2 linked regions of the Drosophila melanogaster genome follow. The protein of the gene in region 2 interacts with the protein of the main gene of each other region in a pairwise test. Each region holds a gene or a part of one and is shown on either strand. Other genes may lie near its edges. The genes, in order: kst and AnxB9.

Evidence for each region.
Region 1: the proteins of AnxB9 (region 2) and kst interact in a two-hybrid assay, tested with the Drosophila melanogaster proteins (one study listed by BioGRID).

The regions. Positions count from the first base shown.
Region 1 is NT_037436.4:3,347,054-3,355,388, reverse strand, and holds the start of kst (karst), read right to left. Parts: upstream 5,282-8,335; 5' UTR 5,135-5,281; coding exon 5,053-5,134; intron 3,894-5,052; coding exon 3,703-3,893; intron 3,425-3,702; coding exon 3,257-3,424; intron 1,652-3,256; coding exon 1,535-1,651; intron 1,467-1,534; coding exon 1,204-1,466; intron 1,135-1,203; coding exon 1,005-1,134; intron 753-1,004; coding exon 565-752; intron 441-564; coding exon 1-440.
Region 2 is NT_033777.3:21,063,683-21,074,954, reverse strand, and holds AnxB9 (annexin B9), read right to left. Parts: upstream 9,715-11,272; 5' UTR 9,554-9,714; intron 9,073-9,553; exon of another isoform or gene 9,004-9,072; intron 7,510-9,003; 5' UTR 7,486-7,509; coding exon 7,456-7,485; intron 6,887-7,455; coding exon 6,178-6,886; intron 6,118-6,177; coding exon 5,936-6,117; intron 5,643-5,935; coding exon of another isoform or gene 5,589-5,642; exon of another isoform or gene 5,201-5,588; intron 4,678-5,200; coding exon of another isoform or gene 4,624-4,677; exon of another isoform or gene 4,416-4,623; intron 4,399-4,415; exon of another isoform or gene 4,232-4,398; coding exon 4,178-4,231; 3' UTR 4,038-4,177; downstream 1-4,037. Other genes in the region: dmrt93B (doublesex-Mab related 93B), read right to left, coding at 694-948; r-l (rudimentary-like), read left to right, coding at 1,737-1,889, 1,950-2,466, 3,131-3,942; cortactin, read left to right, coding at 10,891-11,057, 11,126-11,272.

The sequences.
Region 1 (8,335 bases), on a different chromosome or scaffold from region 2:
CCTGCTCTCGGCGACGCACTCGTTCTTTGCCATGGTAGTTTTCCCTGTCCAACTCCTCGGCCATGGCGGTCAAGTCATTGAATCGTTCCACACGCGCCAGGATATCTGCAGAGATAGCTTCATGCTTCTTCAGCGTGGCATCCACTTGGCGCAGGTATCGTGGATCGGACAGCACTTGGATCATCTCCTTGAGATAACCCTCACGCAGAACCGACTTCTTCTCGAACTTGTAGTTCAGCTGCTCCAGTTTCTCCTGGCGAAGGAGTTCGTCACGCAAAGCCACCTCGCGATGATGTTCGGCATACTCCAGGATCTGCCAGGCTTTCTCGATGTCATTCACGAGCTGGCCGTCCTGCGGATTATACGGTGGCTGATTCAAAGCCTTCAGCAGAGTGTTGATAGTGAAGTACAGGGCCTCGATCTCACTGCGCTCCTTGTATCTGTTGGAGGGGAGGACCATCATTAATAGATGTACTACGGGTGTAGGTGTACTCTGCGTATCCGAGCAGTGATCCGACTGAAATACAATGTATCGTTTCCGGCTGGTCATGAACCTCTACTCACTTGGGTGGCTTCTCAATGGTGCGGTACTCCTTGAAGGCCAGCAGTTCTCGCTGGATGCCCTCCAGCGAGTTGGGCAGGTCGCGTTGCTCCAGCTCCAGCGTCTTCTGGCGGATCCAGCTCAGCAGGTTTGTGGTCAGACCCTCGTACTGCATCTTCTTGCGATCTGCGTCCATTAGCTGCCCAACAATCTGCGGAGGGGTAGAAAAAGAGAGCTGGTTGAGCGACTTTCTAGGTGTAGGTCTGGACCCCACCCGAATCTGATTCCGAATCGGAATCCGAATCCAATCGGTGGCCAATCCATTGTGAAGTAGAGCGTTAACTGTGGGACACCGTTACGCTGCAGCGACTTCTAGAGACGATGGGCCTCTGCCAATGGCATCCGCATCTACCTTTATAGGCAGGTTCATAGCTGAAGCCGGGTCCGACCCTGGTTTACTTACATTTGCTATGCGCTTGCCGCTCTTCTGCTCGTTCTTCATGCGTGCAAAGGTGTGATAGTAGGAGGCCACATAGGTCAAGATCGACTTCTCATCGGGACGGGCCGAGTCAATGTCTTCCGCATCGAGCAGGCTAAAAGGGGGGCGAACAAATTACAATTAATTTTATTGACATATTTTTTATAATTTACAAAATTCTGACCTGGGAATGCCCAATTCGTTGGCGGCCGTGTCAAAGGCATGGTTAAGGTTGTCCAGGTTGGAGTTCTTCGAATTGACAATCGTACTGTACTCAAACAGATCGGGACGGTGCGAGTGGATGAGCGCATTGAAGCCCAAGCCGGAGCGCCAGGAGTTGGTGAAGTCGGTGATGTTGACGCCCGGATAGCCATGCGTCTTGCGCTGGCACCACAGGAGCAGTGCATCTTTGGCGGAACGCTTCTCGCTGGACTCGTTCTCCTCATCCTAAGTGAAACGAATTGGAATTATAAATTAAGCACTTTTGCTATGTGACTTGCGAAGGGACAACTTACCACATCGATTTCAATTTCCTGAATCTGAAACCGCAGAATGATGGTCCAGATAAGACCGAGAATGAGACGGGGGTTGCCATCGACGATGTCCTCAGCACCAATGGACTCCAGACGGACCTAAGACGAAAGAAACCATCATGCATTATTTCCATTCTCCACTCCACACTATCTCTTCTGCATTTCTTTCAGTTCCCGTTTGGTGAATGGAGTGGGTAAGCTGCGTATTGGGTTACCAAGAGTTCCACATCCCACAGATGCCGATACATTCGAACTGGGTCTGCGCCTGTCCAGCAAGACACGCTTTATCAGGTGGAGGTGCTTGACCCCCGGTGGGTTCATGTGGGTCGCTCGCCTGCCATTTGCATTTATAGTGGGTCAGGGCGCGGACAGGTAACGCGCACGATAATCCCAGCGAGGAAAGCATAAGTTACTAGCTGATACCGATCTAAATCGCATTATCATAGCTACAAAGTGGCCAGCGGTTGGCTGCTGATTTATGTCCAGGTGGAAAATTGAGATGGAGAGCTCTCGTCTGCAGACCATTTAGCATTTACTAAAAACTAGTTTACGAATTAGAATTTTAAGAACCAATTACGGCTTCTTTTTAAATTCATAGCAGATAAAGGGGAATCTGGAGGTGGGTTAATCATAGATTTATGATCGATTTTGTGCATATTTATAGGAATTTAAATAGTATTGTCAAAATCATAAATTATATATACATTTATAATTTATGTATGGCAGATTATCGTTTTTAATAGTTCATAAGAAGGCAGTAAGCTAACTTTATTCCTATTCCCCGACAAACCGTTTGCTTTAATAGACTCGTTCCGAGTTATTCTGGTACATTAATGTTTAGTAGGGAGCTACGCCTTTTGGTTCTCCTAATGGCGACTGGAAATTCCAAGAGTCGTGCTCCGCTAAACGCTTCAATGAGTCCCCAAGGGATCCTCCATCGAATGCTCGCTTGTGCGTAAATCTTTCGCTCGGGCTTCTTTCAAGCCTAAACACCAATTAAAATGCACTCAATACCCGTGTCACACACAAAAGACAAGCCCGAAAAACAAATGAAATACGAAATGGAATGAAATGAAATGGTGAAAAGTAAAACCGAAAACTTTCACTGCTTCGCCGCTTAAGAAACAAAGTGAATTAGTTGGACAGTGGGACAATTTGATGCGTTTTAATTGCTTCTAATTAGATTAGACCAGAGGCACCTGACTAGCCAGAAGATTCGAAACTATGTCGCACGCTAAGCTCCCACTTTGCTCAATTAAAATCAAATGCGCACGAGAGGTGCAAAGAAAGTACACATGTATAGTATGAGCGCGGCAGTGGAAAATGTGCCAAGCGCAACAAAGTGAAGTGAAGTCAAGGAAAAAATGCATTAGAAAGTATGCAAATATTTCAGATATTGCCAAGAAAACGCGGTGCCCAGGCTAGGTAATTAAATATATACTTTTTCGCCATGTCTTGACGTCGCCTCACACTTCCCGCTTCCCCGAGATCCGAAATCCCGACTCCAACAGCCAGATCCGTGCACCTCATATGGCAAACAAAGCACGCAATGGCCACGCGCAGCTGCGCAGGCGCGACTTGCACTTTCTACAAATGCGTAGAGAGCTTTACACTCTCCAGTCTTCAGTCTTCGGTCTTTGGTCTTCCAGCAACTGCAACGCCTTCACTCCCTTCACTCGCCGCCATTTATGTGGCATATCTCACCTTGGTGTGCAAGAATGCCAGACTCTTGTTGACATTTTCGATTTTATGGACGCGCATGCGTCCGCTGTTCGGCTTGCCCAGTTTCTCCGACGATATGATCTCCAGCAGCTTCAGCAGCTTGATGCCATCGGCCAGGTCTGTGAATAGGTCTTCGACCTCCATTTTGGCCTACAAAGAAGACGATAAGCCCAAATGTGAGTTGCATTCATAAATTGGTGGGGCCATAAAAGTTTCTTCCAATCAAAATTTCAAGTGAATGTATAATTTCGAATGTCATATACATATGGCGCTTTCATTTGAATACATCACTTTGATCGAGAAATTATAGTATTTAAACAATGAAAACTTTATGTGCTTAGCAAAACAAAGCATTTCTTTCATTTGTACTTTATAGTAATTAAATTACAAGTATTGGGAGTGATGAGTGACTCAAGTAGTTTACACACCTTGATCAGAAACGAGTTCATCCATTTTGTGAATGTCTTCTTCTGGATGTGCAAGCGCTCCTCCTGCAGCGTTTTGATCCGCTCGTTCTCGAACTTGATGATGCCGTCCCGCTGGGTCATGTTGGCGGAGTTGCGATTGGAAGGCGTCGGTGTCTGCAGCGCGGAGTAGCCTCCCGGCTCATATTGTGATGCTAAGTGGGGGGAAGGGAGGAGGAACAAAAATCTCGGATTAGTTCGAAGTCATATAAATGCAACGCGAAACGTTTAGGCTTAGTGTTTGTTTTGATTTTTTTTCATTTTTTTTGTATTTTTTTCCAGGAAAGAGAAATGGGCAAACCACCTGACAACAGACCAAAATCAATAATGGGCATAGGGAAAATAGAGGAAAAATACGAAAGGTATGTGGCAGAGATAGGGAAAGCACGACCGTGACGTACGAACCTATTGATTTAGAGATAACGAGTTATCGCCAACATAATTGCCTCTATAAAAAAATCCCTGGCTAAAGTTAGAACCACATTCCAAGGCAGTTTATTTGTAGTCTTTCGATTATGTCAAACGTAATTCCTAATTTTAAATCATTCCATCAGTGGGTTCCCATAATGTCAAAGATTACCAACGGGTATTTCAAACGAAGAACCAACAATCACTTTTTATTCGAACGCCTCATCACGTACTTTTGTTTTCTAGACCCGTTAAGATAAGCCATGTGTCGATTGGCGTTTCACATTTAGATCTTAGCTGAACAAAATTGTGAACACCTTTTTGAGTAAGCTTGATAGTGAATTTTAAAATATAGTGAAAGATTTTTAAGATGTAGAAATTAGCAATCTGTTGCTTTATTTCAAGTAACTTTACCTCATGAAAGAGTAAGGTATCTTTAAATTTCTTTTGCTAACAAGTGTAAGATAATTTCAACTCTACCAACTATAAACAAACCAAGCTGTGACCAACTTTCCAACCCAGTAGATATACCCCCAGCTAGCGTATCGAAATCAAAACAGTCGCTGCCCAGCGATAGTGGTTCTGCGAGCTTATCTGTCGACTGCCAAAATTACTTCATACCTATGGAAAATGCTTCACGACTTTGTTACTTTTTTTTTATCAACGGTTCGTTTTACGTAATACTGGACAAGAGAATATGTTAAAAAGTGAACAAAATTGGAGCGGAAACTGCAGAAAGCGAAACCATTTTTCTAGGCCGTTGACTCATTTGCCAAATATTTGCGCTCTTATCAACCAAATATGAAGTTCCACCCAACTGAGATAGATAAGAGCAGGTTACTTTCGTTTCGGGATTGTATAATGATCGCGAGCTTCCAGGGGAAAAGTTCAAGTTCAGAAACCTACCCAACGATTGGCGTTCGTAGGATATATATCGGCGATACTCGTTGCGCGAGAAATTCGAGCGCAGAACACTATTGTACTCCATGGCCTTTGATCAGTGATTTCTAGGGTGTTTCTCAAGATATCCGGGCTTTCAGCACCGAGTGCCGTTCCTTAAAGCTAATCTTTCGTTTTTTATTTCTATTTTGTATTTCGACACTAAGTTTCGTTCCTACGGTCAGATGTTCGCAGAGCCCGCGCCGTTTGGTCACTAAAAACAATGTGTGCCCAACATTTTGCACGCCCCAAAAATGTAGAGTGGGGGAAAGCTTCCTCCCCCTCTTGGCTCTGTTTATCAGATGAATTAAAAGCCAAATGCCAAGAGTGGCAACAAAAATGCTTCAACTGGCCTATGGTGAATTCCCTTTATCGCACGAGCTGATAGCAGTATGAGAAAACGGTTAAGGTATCTGAAAATCCTTGCCTTGACAAACAGCCAATAGACCCTGTCGGCTTATCTTATCGGTCCATAAATCCCGCATACCTCGGACATATGTTTTTCGGAATAAATACATATATATAGAGGGGAATGCACTTCCAATATCAAGTTATTTATGGCGCCCTATCAGATTCCGCAGACTAATGAATGGGCCATTTAGAATAGCTGCCAAATTCGATCATTCCCAATGACATCATGCCAAAGAGTTATAATCTGCTGTCTACTCGGGTCGGGTGTCATAACTCCGCTAATAGATCATTTACTATACATATGTGCCGCCAATGGCGTTGAGGTCACCTGGAAGGCATTCGCGGCTAATTGGCAAACAGAACACTTCGCTTTCGCAAATAGAAAAATCAATTAAAAAGAGGTGAAAACTAAACAATAAAAAACCAACAACACCAGTGTGACAATAAACTTTACCATACCGCGATAACGTTCGACGCTTATCATTATCGAGTGGCAAACAAAACCTAGAAAATGCAGAGTGCGGCATAACTTTAGGCTTAGCAGGAAAAGCAATTAAAACTGTGCCTCCTTGATCCCCAAAATAGAACGCATCCCCCAACTCACATACAGCTGTCTTTGGCCATAAACTATTTATACAACTAAAGTCGCCGGAAAAGGACGGCAGAGGCAAAGTCAGGGGCAAATGCGAACCGAGGCTCGAATTCCGGGCATCCTGTTTACTTCAATTGTGATACAACATGGTAGCACAGCACATGCGCGGCAGCTGGGAGCAGGAACACTCGGATTCCGCGCCTCTTTCTATTTATAAACCACCACACTTCACTCATCGCAAACACTTTGAAAACGATTTTTATAGATTTTCAACTTCTTCGGTGTTCTCTAGATCTTGTGTGTTCCACATACACGGTTAGCTAATGAACAAGGCGTGCAACAACCTCGGAGTTGTGTAAGAATTTGCATAAATCAATAAACATTTAGCATTTTGTATGCTTAATTTTTATGGCCCATACGCTAAGTCACACATATCATTTAGCAAATCCCGAATTAAATGATACTTTAAAGTATATCAAAAAGAAGTTAGGCATCTTTTTTTGGCAACCTTTTTCTACTCAGATAACATCCGAGGTAGTTACCGATTTTAATTACTTTTGCGTGAGTGATGGCATATGTCTGATAAAAGCGTAGTTTTTCAGCCATCTCCGCTTTGAACCGAAAATAATGAGACCTATAGCTCGGCAAATTAGGGAATTGGTGGTCTTTGTTGTCAAAAATTTCTACGCATAAAATTACCTCATCAGTGGCTGGAAATTAAAATTCAGTTTTGGCCTCAGTCGAAAAGAAGAATACAGATTGACACAACACAACAAGTAGAAACCCACAGTGATATAAATTCTTTTGTTTGTGCCTGGCATGCTAAACAATTTTTTAAAATCAACGAGAGAAAATAACAAACAATTTCAAAGAGAAAACAGCTAAGCTGGAGACGAAAGAGCCACAGACTTGGATTTAATTTAAACAATAGATCTAAACTGGAAATGATCTATAGAGTTACGTTTTTATTCTGCTAAAGTTGAACAGAGACTTATGATACTCTTAACTTAATATGAGATAGATAGATGAACAGAAATATATCTATCTTCACTCTTTTCTCATCAATAAATTCAAATATTACCCCAACTCCATTAAAAGCCAAATTATTGGGTGGAGCTTCGAATGATTACCAAACATTTTGGCTGATTATTGTCTCATAGCGATACAAATGCCAAAGAAATATTACATAGCTCGTCGATTGCTTTCATGGCTCTTGGTTGCCTTTTGCTTTTGTTGAAATCGAAATTGTTTATAGAGAGCTTCACTCCGCTCATGTTTTTTTTTTTTTTTTTTAACTTGCCTGGTACGATCGGACGTGTGTTGCCGTCCATATCTATGTGTCTATGTGATGTGCCCCAAAAGTTATTTGCGAAAATTAGTCAATGTTGAGCCACACTCAAAAGCCCCCAGCTCCTCGTGGCCATTGCCTTTATTATTGCTTTTTGGCATTTGGTCACGCCCCCCGGAGGGGCTGTACCACATACGATGCGATAGACACACAAAATACACCCGCAACCCATGTTGTTTTGATGACATCATCGTACCTCGAATCTGAGTTTGATTCAAAGCCCCAAAAATTCGTTATATTCTTCAGGGTTCTGCGCATGCGCCACCGGCTACCGAATTCGAATTGGTTTTCTCCCTGCCTTCGTGAGTTCTTTTTATTTGGGATTTGATTATGCAAATGCTAGATTCGTTTATTTGGGGCGCCGCTTCAGCGGTTTTAACTGATTTTTCAGTGAGACTTTGGCAATGAAAACCGTTTTCAATTGACGCTTTTCAACGGTTTTTCAGCGCTTTTCTCCGTGCTGGGAAAATCCATCGAGCCATGATTAGAATCCAAAAATTAAATAGTCAAGCGATGACATCACTTTTTAACGAATAGAAATCTCCGGGGACAAAAGAAGCAAATGAAGATGACAACGGGTGGGATTTATAGAGATTCCATAGATATAGCACAAATTCCTCGAAACAAATTTCTCTAAATTCATCCTTTGAGCACAATGAAAATCAATTAAAAATGAAATACGCAGGGCGGTTCCAAATACATAATAAATTTTAATCGATTGGAGATGCGAATCAACGAAAGATCCATTAATTTTGCGACCAAGGAGGAACTAGGCACGCGTCTTCATTTAATTGTGGTGTAATTAAGATTCGATATGGCGGATATAGGCCCATTAAACCAGATGGTTTCTGTAACAGTTGAGAGGAGCTAAGGAACAGGTTTCCAAGAAGCTATGAACT
Region 2 (11,272 bases):
AACAATTTTCGCAGAAATCCAAAATAATTAATGTTTCCAAAATGTTATTCAAAGTCACAAAACACGATATAAGAAAATGTCGGAGTTTTCGGTGCTATTGTTAATTTAAGCTCCCCTTGCTAATAGGTGTTTTTGTTTGTCGTCCCAGGTTAGTAAATTATAAATATAACAGTGACATTAATCAAGTTAAATTATAATCGAAAGGCTTAAATTGGGTTTCAAAGTTATACCTAGTAAAAATCGATCACGGAATCCATTGCGAACAATACAACATGAAACACAATTACGTTTATGCTTATACATTTATACATTAATATCCTGAAGTTATTTTAGAAAACTTTTGGCTTTTGAGAATATTTGATATGTCATTTTAAGTAAATGCTAATAAAGGGAATATGTTTTTACAAGAAGAAATTTTCTAAAGGACTGGGAATAAAGTCTCCGAATGTTAGAGCAATATATCTGGTCTGGATGGTTTGGATGTCTATGGATGGATCTAACCAGGCAATTTTCTGTATTCGAATGCACCGAATTTTTAAAAAGCTATTTTTGGGATAGCGATTTTACCATCCAGGATAGATGACATTAAAGTTAGCAAGTGGGCAGTAATCATAAAATGAGGATAGTAATGTCAATGATTGCCAATTAAGCAGAAAGGATTGCTTGTCATCGTGCATATAAATCCTAACTTACCTGAGCGGCCATGATCCGCTGCCTCTCAAAGATCAGGACACACTTGGCGCACTTGCAGTTCTTGTAGGTGCAGAGCTTCTTGTGACCCCGCAGCTCTGAAATGATCCCATGGTTCCGGCAGCGGGCGCACTTGGGCACCCGATTGGTGACCTTGGCCGGTGTGGGTTCAACTATTTTGGTGGCCTTGGGATTAGCCACAAGACGAGGACGCTTATTAGCCACTTCATCAGCAGGTTCACCACTTGAACTGGCCATCGCAACGCAGGCGAGAAATGGATTGAGAGAAAACCGATTTTTCGACTAAGAAGTTGCCGCTTTTGGAGCACAAATTTGCGACTTATTTGGAGACCAGCGAAAAGAAACTAAATTTTGGAAACACGCGCCAAAGGATCTGGAATTGTTTCAATGAATGGCGCAAACTTTGTTGACTTACGCAGGCGCTTTGGCTTTCATTTTGCAATATGAGCTTACAGGACTGTCATTGGTGGTTGCAAAATGACTAGACTCCTCCCCTTGAAGTTGCAGTCAAGGGTTTGTGGGCGGAGCCAAAGCTTTCAGATTACAAATGCTAAGTAGTGAACAATACAGCAATGCAGCGGACAAAATATTGTATATAATCCATCCATTCATTTCCTTGAAATTTCTTAAGACTTCTCAGAAACTAAAGGTTATATATTTTATGAATTTGGGAAATATTTCACATGCAAAATAGTTTATTTCAAAACCTTAACACTTATGCTACTTTGTTACCCTATAACTAATAATAAACGTTTATTAATTCGAAGCCAATGTTGATAAAATCTACGACATTTATAATAATTTGAACTTCGATAAGTTTGGCGGCATAGCGAAGTTAACCACCCAGGCGGCGCAACCAGAACTTGTACCTTAATTAGGGTGTTCGAAATGTGCCCCAATGTCACAGCAGATACGTGCACACTGGCAGCATGTTTAAAAAGCGTAGACTCCCAATTGGACGGTTCTTATTGGAGCCTAGCTAGCACGTGTGTGAAGAATTAAGATCGAGATTTAGAATTGCCAGCATGGTTGCCCAGAACTCCGACAAAATGCGGGCCCTGGCCCTGAAGCTCTTCGAGATCAATGCCTTCAAGTTCGGCGACTTCAAGATGAAAGTGGGCATAAATTCGCCGGTCTACTTCGACCTCCGAGTGATCGTCAGTTATCCGGATGTGATGGTCAGTATTTGGGATTAGTGCTCCATGTCAATGGCAGTAGCTAACTTGGTCTTCCCGCAGCAAACCGTATCCGACCTGCTGGTGGAACACATCAAGGACAAGCAGCTGAGCGCCAAACACGTGTGCGGTGTTCCCTACACGGCGCTCCCGCTGGCCACCATTGTGTCCGTGCAGCAGGGAACTCCCATGCTGGTGCGGCGCAAGGAGGCCAAGGCGTACGGCACCAAGAAGCTGGTCGAGGGCATCTTCAATGCTGGCGACACCTGTCTGATTGTCGAGGACGTGGTCACCTCCGGCTCCAGCATCCTGGACACGGTGCGGGATCTGCAAGGCGAGGGCATTGTGGTCACCGACGCCGTGGTCGTCGTAGACCGTGAGCAGGGCGGAGTGGCCAACATCGCCAAGCACGGCGTGCGGATGCACTCGCTCTTCACGCTCTCCTTTCTGCTGAACACACTTCACGAGGCCGGGCGCATCGAGAAGTCCACAGTGGAGGCGGTGGCCAAGTACATCGCCGCCGTGCAAATCAACAGCGATGGTACCTTCGTCGGCGGCGATAAGGGCGACGTTGTCAGAGGTGCGTATGCTCCAGATCCCCGTGATATCTGCCAGATAGATAGATGCATAGATAGATAATAAGTACATGACACTCGGCCAGCACATGGCCTCGAACAAATTCAATTAGGGAGCGCTCCAGTCGCGCTACTATAAAGTTATACAACCGCCATAAACGGCGGTAGGCCGATCTGGATTCCACTATCGGACCGGATCATTCCCGGGAATGCGGCACGTGATTCTGATTCAGGGCAGTGTCCGGTCCGCACTCAATTATGCCACCACGCTTATCAGCCCACTCGAGAGCCAGCCTGCTCCTTCAATCAAGCCCATCTTCTATAAATAATCACATTTCGTTTATGGCGCTTTGATGAGATGTATGGGAACCGGTTTGCTTTTTGTTTCCACCTGTAAAGTCACAGTATTCTAATCTCATCATAATCATCGTCTTTGCCTTTGGGGAGTAACTTTTGTATATACTCTTAAGATACTGTATAAACAATAGCCAAAATTGATTCCCAGTTGAAAAGAGTTATGTACTTTGGGATCGCCAAAGTGTGAAGCTATTGAAGAAAATTGGCATAGGTACAAAACAACCATATAGCGATAAGAAGAGGCGATAAGATAGGTCTACGTGCACGTTTCAAAATTGAAGTGTTAACTAATCACCATCACTTTCCCCGCAGCCAACGACTTGCAGCGCACTAAACTGACCTACGAGAATCGCGCCAATCTGGCTAAGAGCGCGGTGGCCAAGCGCCTCTTCAACCTGATAGCCAGCAAACAGACGAACCTCTGCTTGGCCGCCGACCTGACACACGCCGATGAGATCCTGGACGTGGCCGACAAGTGCGGTCCGTACATTTGCCTGCTGAAGACGCACGTAGACATTGTGGAGGATTTCAGTGATAAATTCATCGCTGACCTGCAAGCTCTGGCCCAGCGGCACAATTTCCTGCTGATGGAGGATCGCAAGTTTGCAGACATCGGCAACACGGTGTCCCTGCAGTACGGCAAGGGCATCTATAAGATTTCCAGTTGGGCAGATCTGGTCACGGCCCACACCTTACCTGGACGTAGTATTCTGCAGGGTCTGAAGGCGGGCCTTGGCGAAGGAGGAGCCGGCAAGGAACGCGGCGTCTTCCTGCTGGCGGAGATGTCTGCCAGCGGCAACCTGATCGACGCCAAGTACAAGGAGAACAGCAACAAGATCGCAACCGAGGGAGCCGATGTAGATTTCGTTGCCGGTGTGGTATGCCAATCCTCCGATGCCTTTGCCTTCCCCGGACTTCTGCAACTGACGCCCGGTGTGAAGATAGACGAGGGCGTGGACCAATTGGGCCAGCAGTACCAGAGTCCGGAGCATGTGGTCAAGGAGCGGGGTGCCGACATCGGAGTGGTGGGCAGGGGCATTCTGAAGGCCAGCAGCCCGAAGCAGGCGGCTCAGACGTACCGCGACCGCCTGTGGGCAGCCTACCAGGATCGAGTTGCCAAGTAGAAAACCCAAACAGCATTCCCCCTTAACGAATATTCCCCAATACCCATTCCCCCTTGGTTTCGGTTACCCTAGATAAGTGAAAAAATCTTCCAATTATTTACCGCGATTTTACAGTGCATTTATGAATTGAACATAGGCTATGAATCTTCCGCAAAACAGTTGGCAAACGATGCTTGCCTTAAAGTAAGAGTTACAACAAATAGAATGGTTAACAATCGATCCAACGAGGAAATCCTTAGTAGGAGGCCAGGCACTGCAAGACGTAGCTGTAGTCTCCGGAGAGGTCGTCCTGGAAAGGAGATCAGTGGATGGTGAATGTGACCCAGCTTTGCCGTTGAGTGTAAGCCAACTTTATTAGTTAATACAAGCACAAACTACGCATACGACTTTGATGCGCCATAATTTACAATAAAAAAAGACATGTATACAAAATAAAAATACGTAAAAATGTTAAATAATCGTTGAACGTTAGACGTTATTGCACAGAGGGAAAATACTAAGCGTTTTGTAGATTGGATTTTTAGAACACATCACAACTACTGTATATAGACCAACTCCATTTGTTCTTCGCTTTTGTTATACTTTTTTTTGGGGAAATGCAACGTTTTTTTGTTTTTGGCATTTTCTACTTGAACAGTGGGGTATTGCTCATAGATATTCGGATATTCCGGCTGCTTCCGTCTACCAAGCCGTAAGAGTGACCAGGACGTATCCAATATCGGTCTCGGCATCCTCCTGTTGTTGGTTCGTTTAAACGGGTAGAGAAAAGCGTGAAAAGAGCAGAGGGTCAGAGCATTAAACGCCTTTTACTTTGTATACATGGCTTATGGTTTGGTTAATTGCCGGAAGCTACTCCTCCAAGGGGTAATCAACTATATATCTACCTGATCAGCAAATGAATGTCTTTCAAATTTAACATAACATTTAAAGTTTTACATCTTGAAATTGTATGTACATTATATTTACATGTAATTGACATGTACTTTTAGCAAGCAGTGCAAGTATATTTAGATCTAAATTGAACTATATTTAACAGTTTGTATACCTTATACACTTGCTGATCTAGTTTATATAGACAATTAAAGAGGGCTAATATACTCATTTAGCCCCATTTAAATCGATTTTTAAGTTGGTTTAATCCACGCCCTTTTTAATGTTTAATGTTTTGATGTTAGGCGACCCAATGTAGCGCTGTTATTTACATGACAAGCAGTGCAGAGACCTCTGCTAAAGGTAACAGAAACTCGATTTGAATTTTGTATTTCATTTTTTCGTATTTTTTATTTTCGTATTTTTTAAAAGTTAAAATATCTTGCAAATGAGACTCAAAACAAAACTGAAAGTATACCTACACAGCAATGCAAGTAGCCTGAGGTGTAGTAATTATAGAGATACAATTATGTGCATGTGGCGTGCATAGTCATAATAATAAAAGTCACAATGGTTATAATAATCAACAGGATGCGAGACTGGGGTTCTGATTCTACGACTTAAATGCACTGCGTCTTCGTTAAAACGTGTTCCAATTCAAAAACTATACATTGTCAACTATTTGATATCGGAATTTTGTTTGTACATTCTGTTTGCATATAGTTTAGAGCGTGGAACAGACGAAAGAGATAAATTATTGTTGGATGGGGTTCTTTTTAGAAGCCAACAATAGCCAATAGGGCACGCTTATAATCGCCGGATGTATCGCCCTAAAAATATAGAATATGCCAAGTTTTAATGTTTTATGCACACAAATGAAGCAATCGGGCGGGAAGGGATAATGGCTTCAGAAATCGGCAAGAAAGTGTTGGGCAAAGGAGCAGTAACAACAACAGGAGAAGCCAGCTTGGATGAACGATTATTAAACTTTGATGGAGCCACAATTAATGGGATTTGTTGCAGGTGCAATCGAATGCGAGTTAGTGGCACATTGAACAGGGTGCAGAATCGAAAGTTCTGGCAAGCACACGCAGATATGAATGTAATTGAAATCGGTATTTACCTTGATCCAGGACTCCAAGCTCTTGCCGTACTTGTTCTGGAATGCCTCCTTGATGTCACCCAGATCGATCTCCGACCGGCTGACAATGATGCGGATCAGCGTCTTGTCCTTGGTGCCCATGCCGGCCATTGAGTCGTGCAGGCGCTCCGAAAAGTAGTCGATCTTGGACTTGCAGCACTTGACTGCAGAGCAATGCATCAGTTAGAAGGGACCCTAAAGAATAGGATGCTATAAGAACGTACCGATGGCCAGGAAACCCTTCTCCACGGAGCCGCTAAACTCCCGCTTGATGGCCTTCTCGATGTCGTTGCCCGACAGATTCTCGTATTCGAGGAAGATCTGGCGCAGCTGCTGGTAGGAGCGGGTGATCAGGATCGAGTTGAAGGTGGACTCATCTGTGCCCCACTGTCCCTCGCCGGCGTCGTGCAGAGCCTGGGCATCGGCGATGGCCGCGGCCTCGTCCACGCCCTGGTTCTCATCCCGGTTGCCCTGGACGAGCGAGACACACAGCCGCTTGAAGTGGCCACTGGTGTCGCCCTTCAGGTCGGACTCTAGGGACTTGCCGAAGCTCTGCTCGTAGAACTGGGCAATGGTCTTGATGCCGTAGTTGGACAGCGTGCAGAGGATCTCGATGATGGCCTCCTCGTCGGTTCCCAGTCCCGAGATGGCGTCGTGCAGCTCCTGGGCATAGAACTGGGGCAGCGGCGTCATCAGAGCCAGGATAACATCCTCGAATTTGCCGCCCAGTTCGGACTTGAGGTCCGAGATCAGGTCCTTGCCGTACGAGGTCTTGAACGCCTCAGCGATCTCCAAACGCTGGACGATGCCACGCCTGGCCAGGATCTCGATGATGGCCTTCTCGTCGGTGCCGAAGCCTTTCATCGCCTTGCGCAGAATAGCCGCATCCTCGACGGGATCGAAGGGATCCGCCGGGTAGACAGTGGGTGTGCACTGCAAATCGAATATAGGCAATCAGCAAATGAGTAACAACAAAGAAGAATTGGGTGTATTTTAATGCAGGGCACGTAATCCCAAAGAAATGACTCAACACTACTCAGTGGCACTTGTTCTAAATACAAATACATATGTGGTTATTCCCTACATGTATTATCTCAGTATTGCATGAATTCCTCTGCAATAAAGTTAGCTTTCTAAATTGACTTTTTTTTTCGTTGTGACTCTTATCTAAGGAACTCATAACTGAAACCCTCTTATCACTCTCTTCTCCCACCAATCGGTACTTGTTTGTCAACGATTGTCTAGTATACACCTCTGATGATAATTTAATAGCCCAATTATAGATAATTTCGTAGCATCTGGTCGTTGTAATAATTTATAGATTGCATCGAGAAAAATCTTGCTTACTTGACAACAACACACGTTTTAGAAAAAATAATATTAAGATATTCTCATCTATCTGTTGAATCTAATTTGATCTGATTTTTTACATTAACGGCGCTAATCGCATGAAATAATTGATTTATACCAGACTCATAAAGTACAATCCATTGTAAACTCACCTTGAATGGGTAGTACTCAGCGGAACTCATTTTGATTGGTTTGTTGTGAAAAATCTGTAAGTAGGAAGTGAGAAATCATAATGAATAATGGCTACGCCGAAATCGTGATGAAAACTGAACCCCCAGCAATGTTGGATACGTTATGTTTCCCAGACCCAATAAGCCCGGCCTTCGGTTAATTCCTGCCTGGTGACATCATCAACTCGTAAAAGCCTCACATTACGCATACGCCCCGTAGCCAGCCTGGCGCTGGTCTGAGAGCATTTTTACCCATTGATTTTTTTTCCTAGTTTATTTACCGAGATGTTTTTTTTTTTAGTTTTCCTTGCCGACCGGTGCCCAAATCGAAGTTCAACGTACTGCCGGGGAAAAGTGAAAGTTTCCACTTTTCAGTACGCAGTTTGCGGAGGAACGAACCTTGGAACCGGGTGCGTCTGATAGCCAAATGGCATGGCGCGGCAGTTTCGTGATAGGCCAGACCAAACCCACACGAAGTGGCCTCATAAACGGATGAGCTCATTGCGTTCTGGCTTGGAAAACATCGGGCACGGCTTGGTTGTGGCCAAGAGAAAGCTTCAGGGAAATGTCTGACTCGTCACCCGTTTGCGTTCTAGATCTACCACTCCACTTCAGTTGTCAAGTGGAACACTATCTCGAGGGACTAGTCCACATAATCCCTAAAATCAATAGGGCCAAATTACCTAATGATAAATGGATTGAGATTTTTGATAGCTTCCCCAAATTAGTAATCACAGTGCGACAGTGCTGAAAATACATGTTTGCCTTTCTATGCTGCCGCCAAAGTAGAAAGTCAACAAAAGGCAGCCGAAAAAAGCATTATAAAAGACTTGACGTGGCGACGCCATCCAAAAAAACAAAAAAGTTAACAAAAAGATACAACTACAAACGCCTCTGCAGTCGAGCTATAAACAAACAAAATGTTTTGGCCAACGTTGAAACCGGTTCTTTTACGTATGGCGTACAATTAAACTCAAGATTCTAGTGTTTATAGACTACTTTAGTTAATATATGATTTCTTTTTAAATAAATTATAATGCAAGTTGAGAATAATGTAATCAATAATAATTGGTTAGACTCTCTAAATATTGATTGGAGTTCTCCGTAATAGTTTGACCTCAATGTAGAAAACACATTTGTGTTTGAAAACACCCTTAATTACAATTCTTTTGTTTCATTATAAAAAGTGGTTGGGGTCTGGAAAAAACAAGATTGATAGATATGCTTTAGCATAGCGTATCTGGTAATGTTGTTCTTGAAATAGACTGATGATACATTGAAATTACAGCACTCAGTGATTCACCAGATTTGTGACGTCAATTTTAAGCTCTGAGCACGACTTTAAAAAAGAGATATTATAATATAGGTGTAAAAACTGGAATAGCTCGTGACCATGTGTGAAAAACTCCATAAACAAAAGCTTTTGCCAACTTCTTTTGGAGACCTCGATGGACTGTACCTCGAAATGTTTCAAAAATGTTTTGCAAATGCACTGAGCAATTCACTTAGTAATAAACCTTGATGACACACCTATTCTACTATAATTGCACGGCCTCGAGTACACTACTACTATATTTTGTGGACGGTGGAATGTGGCCACATCCGATTCCGGTGAGTAATGCTGAGCAAGGCACAGGCGCTCATACACAGTGCTTACTGTAGTTTGAAGTGCCTGTCGGGCAATTGAAGTTGATTGAATTACTAAATTAAGCAGGGCACTGGGGGATAGAGATATTTCGAAAAATTCCGCTTCTCATTCCTACGTAAAATGGGAAAGCAAGAAAGGAACAGAAAAGTTTACTTAGATTTCGTCGGAGATGAGAAAAGTCACACGCGTCGCGAGAGAAAACGCCAAAAGAGTGGGGCTTTTGCTTTTGAGTTTGATGATGTCATCTTTCGGTTTTGAATTTTTCTCCCACCCGAGGCTTTTATTATTGAAATATAAAGTAAATAGAGAAACAAGATTCTGGAGAATTCTCGCGATACCGCACCCACAACTAGAATTCTACAAAATGCCCATTTTGGAATGGCACAAATGAAAATTATCTTTGAGTGTTTAGCACACACTTTCTTTTCTCACTTTTCCGACTGATTTTCCGCTTGATTTTTTGCGATTTCTGGCACAGCGAGAGTAAACAATGAGTTTTATCTACAAATTCCTTTTGATTTACCAATGATATTCGATTTTCAACGTACAAGTCAGACGATGCGAACTGCAAGCGATGTGAATAAATACCATAGCTGTTTGCGCTCCGTCTTTGGCTTTTATACTCGCGCTCTCTCGCTGGAAGTCGATTAGAGATGAACCAACCGGCGATAGGTTGTTGTTGCTAGGAAATATTCGGTGGTAGCGCCTAACTGGAAGCTGGTATCTTCTGCGTCGTCATAGTATACACCGTAGAATCTAAAGTGTTCCGAGATGGATGAATCATCGGCATTGGAAGCTGTTGAGACATTCATGATATTTCCGTTGTGATAATGACGACATTGGGAAAATAAGATCTGATTACGCATTGAATTTCAAAATGTAACCTTTGACTTCAATATTCAGCCGTTAGGGCAATACAGTTAAATAAATATCCTGTTCCTTCCTAAGCCGTTTTATAACTATTTTTATTTGTATTTTTATAACTATATATAAAAACCAATTACGTTAATTGTCAGCCGACATCGAAGCAAATTCAAATCCAAAACTATCGATATATCGATGATATGTTTGCGGTTATATGAAAAAAGTCAACTCTTATACCTGTTAATTACCGTTCTGGCAGAATCTTATTAATTATACAAATTACTATGGCGCCACTTGGTATAACATCAAATACCTTTTGCCCGAGCACTCAGTTCTATTGATCACGATCACATATATTGGTACTGCAGTATATATCGGTGCATTGACTTATCGAATAAAGTAAAAGAACCACGACTGTATCTCTTAATCATTTAAATTGGGCGCCCCTAAAACTGCAGCAACTACCTTTTGTCAAGCTCATCACAATAATTTATCGGCTTTTCGTAGCATATCGATGCATCCATTGTATCGAATGAAATTTAGTTCAGTTAGTTTCCCGTTTGTTGGTCTCTTTATGAATCAATTGTTTAACCCTTCTCCTCCCAGAAATTTGCAGACATCCCTAGCGGCATCAGATCATAAGTTCCTCTTGCAGTAGGAGTTAGTCATCGGGATGTGAGTATACATATGAACATAGAGCGCCAGTGGCATCTTGTTCCCGATCCGGCTTTGTCGGCCCCTCCCTTCTTCGGTGTTTTGTGACTTGTTATCTGGGCCACGAATCGGAAGCGGAGCCCCTGCAACTGAAAACCTGCCCCGACTACTCACACTCGTCATGGTGTTTATCTATCTACCCAGCAGATAAGGATAAGCGAGTAACCAGCGACCAGAAACCGGTAAAAAGAATGTGGAAGGCAAGTGCCGGTCACCAGATTCAGGCCACCAGTGCAGCCTCCGCGGAGGACGACGACTGGGAGACGGATCCGGACTTCGTGAACGATGTCAGTGAGCAGGAGCAGCGCTGGGGATCAAAGACGATCGACGGCAGCGGTCGCACAGCAGGCACCATCGAGTGAGTCATCCGAAATTCTCGAAACACTGGGTATCGGGTTCATTGTTCCCTTTCTTTATTCTTTTTAGCATGGACAAGCTGCGCGAGGAGACGGAGCAGGCCGATCTGGACAAGAAGAAGCAGCTGCTGAAGGATCAGAACGCAGGATACGGATACGGGGGCAAGTTTGGCGTTGAGAAGGACCGCATGGACAAGTCGGCTGTGGGTCATGACTA